2 linked regions of the Mytilus edulis genome follow. The protein of the gene in region 1 interacts with the protein of each later gene in a pairwise test. Links are inferred from orthologs where the notes say so. Each region holds a gene or a part of one and is shown on either strand. Other genes may lie near its edges.

Region 1 (8,624 bases):
TACAACCCTTTTAAGGTTTTTGGTAGGGAGATTCTCAAAAGTCATTATGAATACGCAAGTGTATAAAAAGTTAACTAACAATTCAGTTTACCTTATAATTCCCTTATAATTAATTGATTGAGTGGATGGTTGACGAGAATGAATGCAAATATTTGTTTTTTATATTTTACTTCAAAAGATATAAAAAAGAAGATGTGGTATGATTGCCAATGAGACAAGTATCCACAAAAGACCAAAATGACACAGACATTAACAACTAAAGGTCACCGTACGGCCTTCAACAATGAGCAAAGCCCATACCGTATAGTCAGCTATAATAGGCCCCGATAAGACAATGTAAAACAATTCAAACGAGAAAACTAACGGCCTTATTTATGTAAAAAAAAGAAATGAAAAACAAAAATGTAACACATAAACAAACGACAACCACTGAATTACAGGCTCCTGACTTGGGACAGGCACATACATAAATAATGTGACAGGGTTAAACATGTTAGCGGGATCCCAACCCTCCCCCTAACCTGGGACAGTGGGGTTCATATGAACCAGCAATGTTGAAACTGTACCAGGATGCGTTTCATACGCTGTTTGATGATGGTTGGTATTTAAATATTTTTGGACGTGAGGTCCTCAATCATGTACCTAATCATTATGCCCCCACTTAGCTAGGGCATTATGTTTGTTGGTCTGTGTGTCCTTTCGTTCATCTGTCTGTTTGTCCCGCTTCAGGTGAAAGTTTTTGGACAACCCAGGTAGTTTTTGATGAGGCTGAAATCCAATCAACTTGAAACTTAGTATACATGTTCCCTATGCTATGATCTTTCTACTTTTAATGTCAAATTATATTTTTATCCCATTTTCACAGTCCACTGAAAATATAAAATGAAATGAAATGGTCCTTTACAAGTCCTATATTATAGTATCCCACAAAGTTGTAGAAAGGCCCGTGGCCTCCACGTCTTTACATGTCCCAAAAAATATGAATAGTGAAAAGGGATGGATAATCATCTACTACAGTCAGACATAAGTATTCTGGTTCCCTTTTTATCTCACCTAGCCTAAGGAGGTAAGTTATAGCTTTTCTCACCACCCAAGGCGTCCGTCATCAATTTACTTGAACTTGAACAAAAAACCTCTCCTCTGAAACTACTAAGCCAAATTTAATAAAACTTGGTCTAATCCATTATAACAAGGATTTGTATAGTAAGTCTTACTATACAAATCCTTGATTATAAGGGTATCTTGTTTATAAAAAAGATTTCCAACCAACATGGCCAAAATATGTCTAAAAAAAAGAACATCGGGGTACACACAATGCACTTTTTTGTATTATCTTAAAAACCGCTGATATAGGTTTGATGGGTGCTTGTCAGAAATGTTCAAATGATGAGATTTTCTATTGCCTGTTTACAACAAAACTGTCAGAAGAAGTTTATGTCCTTCAGTGACGAATTTTACCATTTTTTTTTTATATTTTTGTATATTACCATGAAAATTGTAATAGATAGAGAGAACTTCAATGAGCAGAAATGATCAACGAGACTATATCTACAATAAGGTAGCATGGTCATGGTTTTTATCAATGTTTTTCAATTTTGTCGAATATCTGGGAAAAAACTATAAATAGATAGATAATAGATACGTACGGCTTAAATAAGCAAAAATTATCAGCAGGACACGAGCGATCTCTTCTCTTGGAGTTATTGTCCTTTAGTGACGATTATGACCAAAATTTGCCTTTTATTTGAATATCTGGAAAGGCTATAATAGAAAGATAGAAACTGAAATAAGCAAAAATGATCTGGGTCAATATCCCTAATGCGCCTCCAACAGTTGTGTGTAAACAAAATATCTGTGTGTTGTGTGTGATATTGGACGTGTTTGTGATTTTTAACAAGTGACTGATCTTAATCATTTGTGTTGATTTGGAAAGTAGAGGACCATTGAATAAATTTGTAAAAACCATGGAATTATCAAATGTATTCAAAGTATTAAAGGAGAAGGTCCAGTAAGACCTCTTTTTGGCCCCAAAATATAGCAGTTTTACAAAATTGTTAAAATGTAAACTGTTCGTTACTTATTTGAAAAGACAATGTTTCTGCTCCATAAATATGTGCAGTTTTTGACAATACAATGCACATATATCAGGTATTAGCATCATAAAGTCATGCTAAATTACTGAAATTTTCATAATTTTAGCATTTTAATTAAATTTTAGACGGTTTTCGTCTAAAAATGAAAGTGGCCGCAATTTTGTTCATTCTTAATAATGAAATGTAAGTTGTATTTGATGATAATACATAACATATGATGAACACGGATGCGGCCACTTTCAATTTTGACAAAAACCATCTGAAAAGTGACATTTTTTGGCATATTTGATAGATTTTCCATATTAAAGCTTGAATCGGAGCGTTTTTAATGACAAAATCAGTTAAAATCTTTCAGATAAACTAATTGAATCAACTGAAATAGACACTTAAGTGTTTAAAAAGTGTCCAAAATCTTTCTTCAGATGAACCTGAAATTTGAGGCCAAAATCGGCCCTTACCGGACCTACTCCTTTCAAAGAACTTATCGTGTAAAACATTAAGGGATTTTTCACCATAAAGAGCCGCATCACGAAAGGATTTTCGAGGTACAAATGTATGTTAATTTACGGGAAAATGAATGACACTACGTACCCTGAAAATTAACTGACCATATACTGTAAAAATGTCTCAGCTTCGATTGACGAGCCATCATACATATCCAGGTTTAGGATACGGACTGAGCTGCGGAAGAAAACATTACCATCACCGCCTATGGAGAAAAAAAGGCAACAGTAGTATACCGCTGTTAGAAATTCATAAATCGATTGAAAAAAACAAACAAATTAGGGCTACAAACTAATGCTGAGGAAAAACATCAAATATAAGAGGATAACTACGACACAACAGAAACACAACACACATAGAAACGAACTATAATATAACAATGGCCATTTTTTTGACTTGGTACGGGACATTAAGAAAACTATGGTGGGTTGAACCTGGTTTTGTGGCATGCTAAACCTCCCACTTTTATTGCAATGTTAAATATAACATTAAAATGACAACATTACATGACGGGACTACAATACAAATAAATGGGAGAACATATAGGACAGAGAAACATACGAATAATAGCTAACAAAAGGTACCAGGTTTAAAATTTAATACGCCAGACGCCCGATTAATAGTCCACACAAGACTAACCAGTGACGCTCAGATGAAAAAAGCCAAAACCAATACAAAGTTGAAGAGCATTGAGGACCAAAAGTTCCAAAAAGTTGTGCCTAATACGGCTAGGGTTACAATTGTGCATTTTTCACAATCTGCAAGATAAGATCTACCATTTTCTTTATCTTAATTTATTTTATTTGTTAGTTGTATTTGTGTGTGTGTGTATTTATTCAATTCATCATATGCTACCTCAAACAGAATCTACTGTTGGCACGTGATGTTTTTTGTTAAATAGATGGTGGGGGTTTTTTTTGGGGGGGGGGGACGGATTTGTATAAGTTTTTCCGAATCCCATATTTGAACTTCATGTAACATTATTGTATTGTACAGTATAATTTTATTCTTGTAATTTTTCATTAATAAATACCGTTTAAACTAAGATATACTAACAAGTCTTCTGATCGGCTGTTGTCTGCTCTTAGTCTATGGTCGGGTTGTTGTCTCTTTGACACATTCCCCATTTCCATTGTCAAATTTATTCTGACCGAAATCTCCAGCTCACTCTTCGTTGGAGTTGTTGCTCTTTACAATCTTATCAAAATAAGTTCACATCACTTGCTCCTCGATTTTTTATATATGAACTTATTTTAAAAAGATTGTGCTCTTTACTAAAAAAAATTATACATTTTTAGTGTTCTGCCTCTTATAATTATAGTCTTTCCAACTATTATCCATATCATAGATGGCCACTAAGAAATCTAAATTTACTGGAAGGCTATATATCACAAAACCATGCTCATTAATGACAATATTTACCAATATTAAACCTTTTTTACTATTATCTTGAAAATTGTCAAAGATAAATATACACTTAGGCCGTTAGTTTTCTCGTTTGAATTGTTTTACATTGTCATTTCGGCGCCTTGGCTTTTATAGCTGACTGCGGTATGGGCTTTGCTCATTGTTAAAGCCGTACGGTGTCCTATAATAATAATAGTCCTGATAATAGTTGTTGATATCTGTGTCATTTTGGTCTCTTGTTGAGAGTTGACTAATTTGCAATCATACAACATCTTCTTTTTTTTATACTTTCAATGCAATGTAGCAAAATTATCAGCACGGCAAATTTTGCCGCAAATTAGTCAAATAATATTGAAATCGTTAGTAGACTATTTATAGGTTTAATTGTGGTAAAATAACCATTTGCAAGGATTTGTATAGTGAGACTTTTGAAATCCTTGCAACTTGTTACCCCTTTTTTGTATATTGGGCAATATTAAAGAAGACAGAGAGAAGCTGTAACAGAGAAACAAAAAAGATCAGCAAAACTGACTACAAGATCAACAAATTTTTTTTTTTTTTTGTCATGGATTCCGTGACAATCATGAATGCTGGAGAGTGTTCAATAACCACGGTTGGTATATGCACGAACCTTTATAGAGGTACACAACCCATGTTTTTGTAGCCCCAGTTGACGGGATACAGAGCGATATAAGAGGCATGCCATGGGGTGTCAAAGTAGTCACATAATCACATTGTTTTTGCCATGTAATCACATAATCAATTTTATTAAAAAAAAAAATAATCAAGTAATCAAAAATAAAGTCATAGATTATCAAATAATCAAATAATTACTGTATTTGGTCTGGTAATCAAATAATCACTAAAAAGATGGCAGTATAATCACATAATATAAAAAAGTAAAAAAAACACATGATGAGGAGGCTCATATATGGGCGTTTAAAACAAAAATAAACACACATACGGCTTGCTTTGTCGTTTTTCCCTTCGTATTATTACTATATTAACTTCAATCCTTGACAAATATTCGCATGTTCGGTATAAAAAAAAGTCGGAAAATTATACTAGATGAACTTATGAAGAATAATAACTTTGAGATGGTCCCTTGATCATTACCGGAAGTTGTTGAAACGACTGATAGAAAATTTATCGATGGTCATCGCAAATTCATAAAATGGTAACACACAGATTAAAACATTTCACACTGCAAACACACTGATTTATGAAACACATACATGGTCAAGATAACGTATAAGTTAAGAAACAAGATATTAAGCAGAAAGACGGGAGAATTTTTTGACCTTGTCCTGAGGCTGACAGTTGCATTTTCCATCAATCGGTCAATATTCCAAAGAGTTCGAACAGAGGTCCCAGTGTCGGGCTGCCAGGGAATAAGAGTAACATTTTCTGACTTGGAGCCAAACTTGCCAAAATATTAAAATTAAGAGAAGCACTAGTCTATGGGCATTTTCATAAAAGTTTTAGGGGCCCAACCCAAATTTTAGAAGGCACTGGCTACGGTTACATGATGTGAATAATAAAAATATTATTGTTACATTGGGGACTAAATGCCGGAATGCATGGTTGGATAAGGAACCGATTAATTACGAATGTAACAATAATAATTGAGGCTACGGTTACATATTTGCTTTATTGTTACATGAAAAACAGCAATGTTCGATGGGACTGGTAATATGTACTAAATAATAAAAGTTGAAGAAATTTTCTTATATTTACAATACATGCAAGTGTAACATACAATTTTTTGATGTTTTTATAGTATTTCCTCCATGGATTATGAAATCGAACTCGGACATCTCTTAAACTGAGTTTTACTATGCGTAGTGTTGTGCGTTTGTTTTTAGTGGAAGAAGACGTCAAGTCTTCTGAAGACTTAAGGGGCTGACCATTGGCATTGAGTCTCCGTATGCCGCATTCATTTCGTGTATTACAATTTCAAAACAACTTAGATTCCTGACACCGATTTTGATTTTTACACATGATTAGGCATCTGAATCATTTAATTTGTAAATTATGATTGTAAAACAATCACTATCGTAAATATGACCCTTTTATTTATGTAAATTATTAGATTTCATCTCATCCACATGAACGTTATTTGTTTACTTGTAACAGGATGTTTTAACTGTAGATATTTGTATTACGCATGCGTGAATTTGGTATCGGGACAACTCGCCCTGTTTACAAGTTCGCCCTTGAAGTTACGAATTTGCAATCCTGCAGACAAGAAGATTTTGTTTTTATATAAATAAAAAGGATATATAAAGTGTTGTCTTTATTCATGGTTTTCCTTTGTCATGTGAATTAGATGCCCTTCGTAACATACATGTGAACCTCCCCTTTAGGAGAAAAAACTCCCGTGTATGAAATTTTTCAGACGCCATATTTGATCATTTCTTACTACTGTACGGGTGTAATTGACACCTGTGTTAAATTTTACCTGAACATCAAAGAAGATGTATAATTATATGGCTTCACTTGACAGCTTGGGTGTCAAACATACTGGTAATCAACGATGTTTACCTCCGGCTAACTGCCGTTGTGTTATCAAAACGATGTGTATTGGGAATATTGAAATACTTTTTTGTTACTTCCCTTTGTTTTATCCTGTTTTCAGTTATTTTGCTTTAAAAAATGTAAATTGTAAAAAGACTATAAATGATTAATATTTTAATCAAATAATCATAAAAGGATGTTGATTAAATGAATTTAAATGATTTTGGACAAATAAAAAAATTAAAATTTATAAATTATTTTAGCAATCTAGACCTCCTTTCAAGGATTAAATTGAAGTTTATATCATAATTTTGTTTACAACAGAATGTGTTTATAATTAATTTACGATGTTGCAAATATACTTGTGGAGCTAATTTCTTTCTTATTTGTCTATACATTTACAAATGATAAGGAGATGAAGACATGAACAAAAATATATACAGATAAGATATATAAATATAATGATTCATTTGCTAGCAGTGAACAATCATTTGTCAAAAACAAAACAAAACAAGAAACAGATTCTTCTTATTATTTTATTTTATTCAAATAGAGAGGCAATAATGGAACTATAAACATTACAATTTGATGGAAATTTGAAGAAAAAACACAATTTCTACATCATTTGGTTACATTTATGACAAAATTTATGTCGATAAAAAAACATGATGTTTTGACCAATCAGTACTTAACCCTTTCCTCCATAATGACGCTTTTTGACGCCACCCCTTTACTCCATAATGACGCCTTTTGACGCCTGTGTAGTACCTCAGTTGAAACACTTTGACTACAAAGTGTCTGCAGTAGACTCAATAAAATTTGTATCCAATATGAAAAGGAATATCATAGGAATATTCTACTTAAATTTATTTAATGAAATATTTGTTTTTTGCAATGCATTTTAATACTTTAAAGCCTATTTTCAGCATTTTATTGAAAAATTCTATTTTGTGTTCATTTTTTACAGTGGGTTGTGATGATCTTCCAGTTAGGTTACCCTCATTTGGAGTGTTGTTCCCAACCTGTTAAAGGTCCATCTTTGTGCATAATTCAAAATTGGAAATTTCAACAAGCATCTAAAATTCTTAATCTGGAAAATAAACCCTGGTCTGCTAGCTTCATGTATATTTTTTCTACCGATTTAATATATAACTAGAATCATGCAAACAGACTTAAGGAAAAGGCATGTAAGTTCATCATACAAATATGACACTTTTTCTAGACAATCCAGATCTTGCAAAATACGTCCCTAAAAATTGTAACCTTTAAAATTGTTGTGCAGTAAAAACCCATATGGGAACTTTCAAAAGTTGGCAGGTATGTAACAAGTCTTACTATTTTTATGCTCCATTTATGGGCAATATGTTTTCTAGTCTGTCCGTCCGTCCTGCTTCTGGTTATAAAGTTTATGGTCGAGGTAGTTTTTGATGAAGTTGAAATCCAATCAACTTGAAACTTAGTACACATGTGTTCCTCTTGATATGATCTTCTTAATTACTGCCAAATTAAAGATTTTACCTAATTTTCATAGTCAACTGAACATAGAAAATGATTGTATGGATGGGAAATCCATGTACTTATGACCTTTTCTTGTTTGAAGAAAAAAAATACATTTTAACGATAATGGAACAAAGCAGCCTGGGTAAGTGGGGCTGCTTTTATGGTAATTCAAGTTACCTTTTATTCACCTTCCACTTCAGAGCTATCAGCTCTTTGATTTCTACATTGGATAGAGGTATATAGGGGAGGGTTGAGATCTCATAAACATGTTTAACCCCGCCGCAATTTTGCGCCTTTCTCAAGTCAGGAGCTTTTGCATGGCCTTTGTTAGTCTTGTATGATTTTTTAATGTTAGTTTCTTGTGTATGATTCAGAGTTTAGTATGACGTCCATTATCACTGAACTAGTATACATATTTGTTTAGGGGCCAGCTGAAGGACGCCTCCGATGGGTGCGGGAGTTTCTCGCTACATTGAAGACCCATTGGTGACCTTCGGCTGTTGTCTGCTCTATGTTCGGGTTGTTGTCGCTTTGACACATTCCCCATTTCCATTCTCAATTTTATACATGTATACAGAAGTTCACAGTGTTAGTTCACAGTTA
Region 2 (8,689 bases), on another chromosome or scaffold:
TAACTGAGGAAGTGTAAAAAACAGTGTTTTTCTATACATTGCATGTCGTGTCTGTATGACATCTTATAGTACTAGTAGTGGTTACATTAAAATGTAAGAACTTGTATTTCTATGTAAACATGCATTTCAAGTACTTTTAATTTGATTTCCGTTAAATTGAGTATTATTTGATGTGGTATTACTGAGAAATGTTTAACTTGTGTACCGTGTACACGTTTTCTCTTTCTTCCGTCTGCAGTACTTATTCTTAATAGACTTTTAATGTACATATATGCTTTTGCGTTCTTTTTTTATTATTATTTCATTGATCAAGATTATATACTAGGTAAAACATGTTTCACTTTGTGTTTATTTCTGGGACTATTATAATAGTCCTAGTTTATTCCTAGCCTGGTTAATGGTAGTCGGTTGATGTTATGGCCGTTTGTGTTTCCTTCAGTAGAGGTGTGAGTTTCAGTGCAAATCGAATTTGAGTTACATATCGCGATTTTTAAAATTATACAAAATAATGAGTCGTGCTCTATTGTATTTCAATATTTTTTTTATATATCTTTAATAATGTCCTAGTTGGTAAAAGGGACTTTGCTTTACTCTAATATGGACCGCAAACTAGTTAGGTACGTTCTGGTTTGATGTTACTGTACAACTAGCCTTACATTCGGATTCTGATGTACAGTAGTTGTCGTTTGTTTATGTAATTTATATGTGTTTCTCGTTTCTCGTTTCTCGTTTTTTTTCTCTCGATTAGACCGTTGGTTTTCCCGTTTGAATGGTTTTACACTAGTTGTTTTGGGGGCCTTTTATAGCTTGTATTTCGGTGTTAGCCAAGGCTCCGTGTTGAAGGCTGTACCTTGACTTATAATGGTATACTTTTATAAATTGTTATTTGGATGGAGAGTTGTCTCATTGGCACTCATACCACATCCTCCTATATCTATAACATGTATTGTTCTCTTCACGATAAAGCTGTTGTTCCTGCGGAATAAGGTTAAAATGATATTGTCTTTGTTTGAACATAGTTTTTCTATGGGTGTCTTGTAAATTAAAAGGAATAAGGAATAAATGAGCACTCACTAGGTAATCCCACCAATGATGAGATTTTGGCGCATCATAAGACCACCATGGCTGCATCGAAAATTATGTTTACCAGCAAATCTGAGGAATTATCTTGTTAGTTTTGGATACCTAAGCTTCACAAAATTTCGTACAAAAAATAGTATATTGCCGCGGCTTATCTGCATTTGCTACAACGGAATTGTCTGTCAGATTGACACAAAAATTGCGTCCGCAGTGAAAGAAGGTATTCAGAAATACTGTGAAACTGTTTACTCGCGTAGTGGTATTAGCCATATCAGGATTCTAAAAAAAATCTAAATATCTTTCGGCTAATTTTTATTTCTATCTTTCTCCGAAATTAGTTATATCAAAACTTTTCAGTTTTCAATCTTGTATACCATCATTCCCGATGTGAAATTGGAAGATCGTCTTAAAGAAATTTTCCACACTCCTTTTCATTATAAAAATGATAGAATACGCTATAAATTCATTACTTTGGGATACTATATGACATTTTTTTTTATAGTGAACAAAAAGGTCAAACAGGTTACACAGAAGAACAAGTGATCAGCTTGCTGGAGTTTCTTATTGACAACATATTTGTTAAAGTTGGAGGTAGACTTTCCAACAAATTATCGGCATTCCTATGGAAACAAAATGTGCGCCTCTCCTTGCCTACCTCTTCTTATCTTCATATGAGTCGGAGTTCCTGCAGGCACTTGTCAAAAACAAGAAGATCAAAGAAACCAGATCATTTAATTTCACATTCAGATATATTGAGGATGTTCTTTCCATTAACAATCCAAACTTTTCTGATTGGATTCATTAATATATCCTCCAGAGTTAGAAACTAAAGAAACAATAGACATGGCTTTCTCCGCCTGATTTGAAGACTAATACATCGAATTTGACATAAAAGGTAATTTCGGTGCCAATCTAATTAAAATATTGATCTCTGATTACGTTATACTCATATGTAGTATAACGTAATCAGAGATCAATATTTTAATTAGATTGTTTCGGTGCCAGAATCTATGACAAACGAGACGATTTTAATTTGAAATTATCGATTTCACATGTATTCAAGATGTCGAGCTTGCTACCCAGACTTTATAAAACGTCATCAGTGTCTGAGCAGAAAGTTGAAGAACCAGGGTTATGTCACAGAACGTGTCGTCCTTTCTCTAAAATAAAGTTCATCGAAAGATACTAAGACTTTGTTGATAAATATTTCGTATTAACTTCAAAAATAATATATATGATGGCCTTAAAGTATAGATAATAGGTACTGACTTGTTTGTTGTGTTCTTTATTTGTCTGTGAAAACAATTAACATTGACTGTTTCTAGATATAAGAAGATGTGATATGAGGAGTGCCAATGAGACAACTCTCCATCCAAGTCACAATGTATAAAAGTAAACCATTATAGGTCAAAGTACGGTCTTCAACACGGAGCTTTGGCTCACACCGAACAGCACGCTACAAAGGCCCCCAAAAATTACTAATGTAAAACTATCCAAAAGGGAAAACCAACGGCCTAATTTATATAAAAAAACGAGAAACAAGAAACACTTATGAACCAAATCAACAAACGACAACTATACAGCGCATCAGATTCCTGACTTAGGACAGGTGCAAACGATTGCAGCAGGTTTTAACGTTTTAATAGGTACCAACAATCACTTAATCCATTTTTGGTAACATCCTTTTGACGTTGCTCGGTATTTATACATCCCGCCAATGTGGTGTTGTCTTTCATTTTTGCTTAAGTGCTTTGCATGTATGCCATATTGTTTTTCTTGAGGAAGAGCAGAAAACAGTCCAAGTTCACCAATGGTTCTTTTTTGTTTGTTTTTTTAGGGATTAAGATTATAACACCATGTTGTCTGCTGAACTGCTATTTTTAAAATGTTCAGTAACTTTGTTTGTGGTTATATATCCCCAACGTAGCTTGTATGATATCCACTATCATATTTTCAACAAACTAGTTATGTGCTTTTATTATCATAGTTCAGTTTCTATTGATTTATGTGATTCTTGTCACATTTTTGTCCTAATCCCTCATTTCCTGCTTCTTTTGTTCCCTTTTATATTATATGCAGTTTTTTTCTTGTCCAGATTCCTCTCATTTTATAGATTATCCATTGTATGGGAAGAGATTCAAGAGCTTATTTCACCATTTTTTTTAATTCAAATTTTCTTTAAAAAAAATAATTACCGTTCCAGGGACTCTAGTTTAAAACTGTACATGGGGATTTGAATTTAAAAATGGATGCAGGTTCTATACATACAACGTATAGGTAATATGCAGTCTTTGGATTATATCTCAAAGATCAAAGTAGTTAGAGCAGGACAGGAATCGACTAAAATTAATCAGCTTGTGAAGTTCTTTGCACCATGATTATTTTTTTTTTAGCAAACTAGGACAACCCAATTTAGAATATTTGACCATGAAATGTACTTTTTAGTAAATTTCATAGTTTGTTTAGTTATTATCTTAAAATCTTTAAAACTATTATGGATAGAGAGAATCTTTTAATAGTAATTCAAGAAAAAGCGGAATGATCGAACGAAATTTACAAATTGTTATATTCTTTTAAAGGTTAAAAACACAAGAACAAAAAGGTCTATACATATAGGTTAACAATCGTCGAATGATTGTTGTTTATAAGAGTTATTGCCATTATAAACGATTTTTAGCCATTTTTTTAACAGCTATAATAGATCATCTCGGTGCATTACGTTTGCGCGCATTACCATTACATTTGCGTGCCAAAATCATTAAGTTTGTGCGCAGCTTTTGATTACATTTGTGCGCATCCTTTTAACAGGTAAACTCAGGTAAAATACAGGTAAAGATACTTATTTATTTATTTAAGAATTGAATGCTTCTTTTTGTAACTTTATTGGGGTGTAAAAGCGTTGACCGAAGTACATTTTGTATGAAGCGCGGAAGCGCTTCATTCTAAAAATGTACCTACGGTCAACGCTAGCTTTTACAACCCTATAAAGTTACAAAAAGAAGCATTCAATACTTATAATTACATTTTTTAGCTATGAACCAGAAACCACGAATTTTATAATTTTTTTATTTAATTCACCTGTGCACTTTATTGTGGGACCACGTGTTATCCTGAATGAAAAGTTTTATTGAGTAATGCAATTGCTTAAGGAATAACATGTGATGTGCAGTTAGCCAATCAGAATAAAGGATTATAATGAAACATACATCTAATGTAATTATAAGGAGATAAAGCCGCATATTTTTTTGATTTTCGGATATAATTCAATAAGTCAAAGGTGTATGCAAAATTTTAAGAAATCTGTGACAAAGCCCATTTATTGTTACTTGACCTTAAGCTATAACGAGGTTTAAAATTGGTTTTAGAATTCAATATGAACAATATATAATTTGAATTAAGAAACTATTTTCAAAAGTAATAATTGATAGTCATATCTATTATGAAAATACCAAAAAAATATCGTCATTTATAATTTAATATATCTTTATTTATATTTTTACCTGAGATTACCTGTGAAATGAATGCGCGCAAATGTAATCAAAAGATGCGCGCAAACGTAAAACATTGTAATTCCCAAATGCGCGTAAACGTACTGCGCCCGATCATCTGTACCCAGAAATGAGATGTGCAAATGGCTGAAATTGCCAACTAACCCCTTATTAGAGTTAATGCCATTGTAAGAGGATATTTACCCTTTTTTATACCATCTGCAGAACTTTGAACCAAATAAATAGGAAAACAAATTTGTTGAGCTGACAACGTATATTTATTCCGCCTAACAGAAGTTCTAATAGAAATTTAACTTTGTTATAAACATTGTCGTAATATCTATTCCTGTTGGAACAAATATTTGTACCAATCAAAATTGACCAACTGCATGCATGAGTATTTGTGGGAGTTACTGCACCAGAGGACATTTTTACATTCTTTGGAGTATTTTTTTATAAACTGATAAACTGGAACATAATATAATTATATACTACTGATTCACAGCCTTGAATAACGATTTTTTTTTTTACTATATACAAGGAATCTGATTTGCATGTATAGCAAGATTCTTACTATAGGCCTATCTATTGTTATTTTCACAGTCATCCCGGAAAGTTTATTAAATAGCTAGAAATTGTAAACAGTAGAGATGGCCATCAAGACAAGAAATACAAGAAGAAACTATATAGGACTGTCTAACAAACAAGCAAACATAACTTTATACGGGAATTTTAAAAATAGTTACATTGTCTAATTTTCTTCGACTAATATTTTTTTTTTATTATATTGACCTATCAAATGGTACCTTTTGTTTTTGTTTACAAATTACTACACAAATTAGAAAAGAATTTATTTCACTGACTCGCAGCTATATATTGTTGACGTAACAGTCTAGATGCATCAATATCTATGAACCAAATATATTTTACTTTGGCCTAATATTAAAAGAATAAATGGTTAGAGTTACTTCCCTTGCGATGACTTATTCCAATGAATTGTGGGTAATGACACACTTTTAGAAAAAGAAATATGGCTTCTAAATAAGATGTGATGGGTCATTTAAAAATCAAAACATTTAGACATGACAAGTAAATATGCATGGAATTTTTGTCATACGAGGCGAAAAGAAAACACCATTCTGTTGTTTGGACCGTAAATTATAGTGAAAATATGTAGTGATAATTTTATAAACCACTAACTAAATTCGAGGATCGTAAGTAACCCGGGATGCTATTGACATCACCGGTAGAAAAACCGATATTTGTTTTATGAATGTCACTTTTGATTTGGATTAAATAACAGGAAAAATTTCAAAATGAGTTGTGATGTTATGCCGACGATTTCTGAGGACGGTTCGAACGATGGCGAGTCGCAGTGTTCGGGTGATGATGCTAACTTTGAACACTTGATGGTAAACATGCTGGATGAGCGAGATAAGTTGATGGAAAATTTGAGAGAAACTAAAGATACGTTATCATTAACACAAGCCAAACTACAAGATGTTGAAAGGGAGAGAGATGCTCTCCAAAACCAACTTAATTCCACTACCCCTCAGGTAAAACATTCAAGTCACGCCCATTTCATTTAAATACATTATTATGTATTAAAAACTGACATCATCTTTTACAAGAATAGATTCAAAACAGCCATTTTGTATACATTAACCCAGCCTTGGGATATTTCATTCATAAAATTTTTACTATGAGATTTTAAGGAAAATGTGTAGTCAGAAGTTAAAGACTTACATTTTACATTTTTTATAGAGTTGTAAATCGAATAATCTTTAAAGTTAGAAATTGATAATAAAATATTATTTCCTTTACATATGAAATCCAATATTTACCAATAAATTTGTGTATTCAAATTTCAATAAACATAATGGAGTTAATGAAAAAAATATTGTTTCTAATACAATTTTTCAAGTAATATGGATTTATTGTTTTTAATTTTTGAGCTTTCTAATACAGATTTTTTGCACTGTAATTGGGATCTTAATCTCTTTTGAGTAAAAAATTTGAAACAGATGTTTTACATTGTTACTATAAATTAAATATCTATCTTCCAAAATTTTTGAGAAATCAAAGAGCCATCTGACTTACTATTTATAGTTAATTGGATTATATAGGTATATTAAAACACCTGCTGTTATTTCTGCATTAATTGGTTTAAATCCAATTGTTGATACACCTGATGGTGTACTTGATTAGATCCTCTATAATAGGATTAACTGTCTATCCACAATTGGTCACATATGCCTGATAAACTCTGATAAACATTTTTTAAATTTATTCAATATATACACAATAAATATATAAAAGTACTGATATTGTATTTAACTAAACAGAAAGATATTGTGCATTCACATATTTTGTAAAATGAAGTTTACATACATTGTACATATATTAAATGCATTAACAAAACATATTAGAAAAGAAATTGATCATGCATTGATTTTGTAAAATGAAAGTAACAAAAGTCATATAATGCTTAAACAAAATCGATATCTTACTGCATCATTTCAACTGATGTTACATTGCCCATTTCCTTTCTCAATTTCATTACATGTACATGTATAAGAAATTTTCAATCCTCAATGAGAATTCCCAAATCACTTTCTGTTGAAGGAAAAGAGCTTCCAGATTCACATATACATGTACATGTACAATTTACAATGAATTTCAAGGGGGTATCATAAACATGATAAAGGAGGCAGTCTTCAACCTATTTTTAAAAATTCATGACCACCATCCTTTCAGACACCGCCACCCCTTCCCCATGCCATCAAAAAAGTCTATGGGGAAACACTTTAATATGTTCCAGAGATTTTTGGGGTTACTTTTGCCAAAATGATTAAATCTGACTGGTGCAGTCATATTATTAGAATTATACATTTTCTACATCATATTTATGCAGAATGATAGATAACGACAGACTGTATTCAGCATTGTTATCTTGAGCGGCTAATTATAATTAAGTACTAAATGTAAAGTCACACCATTAAGCTTAAAAAAGTAATTTTTACTTGAAAACTCTTAACTTTTAATTAATTGCATGTGTGTTACACTGGATTTTATATCGCTGCCTTCCATGCATAATAAGTCCATCAGCAACAGATTTGAAAGATAAATTGAAGATTGATTGGAGTGTGTATTAATAAGGAGATCTACGTACAGTATTGCCAATGAGACAAATTTCCAATAACAGACCAAAGGAAATGAAATATCAAGTACATTTAAATACATGTACATTTTGTAACAACAGACCATCTTACTACCTTCAACAAACAAAACCCATACTTTATAGTAAGCTATAAATGTATATTGTAATTATGGATAACAAAATTTGAATCTTCAGGTATTTACATGTAACAGGGAAAATAAACTTCATGAACTGTGTTTCATCAATGGTCAATTTATGTTCAAACCCTCTTTTGGTAAAAAACATAAATTCTGGAATTCCACATAGACCTTTTTCACTTAGTCTCCTCATAGTCATGTGATAGTCTCATAGTATTCAAATTTTGAAAAATCTAAACCAATTGTCAGAGGTCTTTGAGTTGAAATAGCAACATCCATTCAACTCCATCTTGAGGAATACAAGGAATTGCTCACAGACCTTTATCATGACTACATACAATGTACAAATTTGTCAGATTTAGTACTCTGTGTTATTAATTATAAATAATTATAAGTCTCAAGACAAGTACTGGATTTTTAAGTACATAATGAATGTACAATGTAACAAATCAGAAATTATAGTAAAATTCTGATTGTTGTATTAAAGATTGATGATAGTCATAATTCCATCACTAGTTTATATGGGTACAAAAAGACAATGCGTATGTATATACAGTATTTGGTTATTTAAAAAATGGGAGGAAGGTTTGGTTGTTTATCCCATCTGCCAGAAATATAGATTCCTACACTGTAACAAATCAGAAATCAATGTTTAACACAATTTGTAAAATCTCAGGCTCTGGAACATTATTTGAAAACCCCAATAATAGTTTAAGCCATTTTGATGGTTAAATATGTTTATGGAAGCTGCATTTTGATTATACATGTACAACAGCCCATTTAGATTTTGCTTTTTCCACCTGCCCACAGTGGTCAGCTGATCA

The links. The genes of interacting proteins can lie anywhere in the genome.
Region 2: the proteins of kinesin-like protein unc-104 (region 1) and liprin-alpha-1-like interact in binary tests that used the Caenorhabditis elegans proteins (3 or more experiments, as listed by UniProt). The link is inferred for Mytilus edulis from reciprocal best matches to the Caenorhabditis elegans genes unc-104 and syd-2.

The regions. Positions count from the first base shown.
Region 1 is NC_092356.1:26,931,044-26,939,667, forward strand, and holds the start of kinesin-like protein unc-104, read left to right. Parts: upstream 1-5,111; 5' UTR 5,112-5,181; intron 5,182-8,624. UniProt on the Caenorhabditis elegans protein: Motor protein involved in microtubule-associated anterograde transport. Regulates the transport of synaptic vesicle precursors in the axon of DA motor neurons. Regulates the polarized sorting of axonal proteins.
Region 2 is NC_092350.1:37,966,976-37,975,664, forward strand, and holds the start of liprin-alpha-1-like, read left to right. Parts: upstream 1-5,548; 5' UTR 5,549-5,884; coding exon 5,885-6,124; intron 6,125-8,689. UniProt on the Caenorhabditis elegans protein: May play a role in regulating the structure of the neuronal region, called the active zone, from which synaptic vesicles send neurotransmitter signals across the synapse. This may be in association with the liprin-beta protein hlb-1.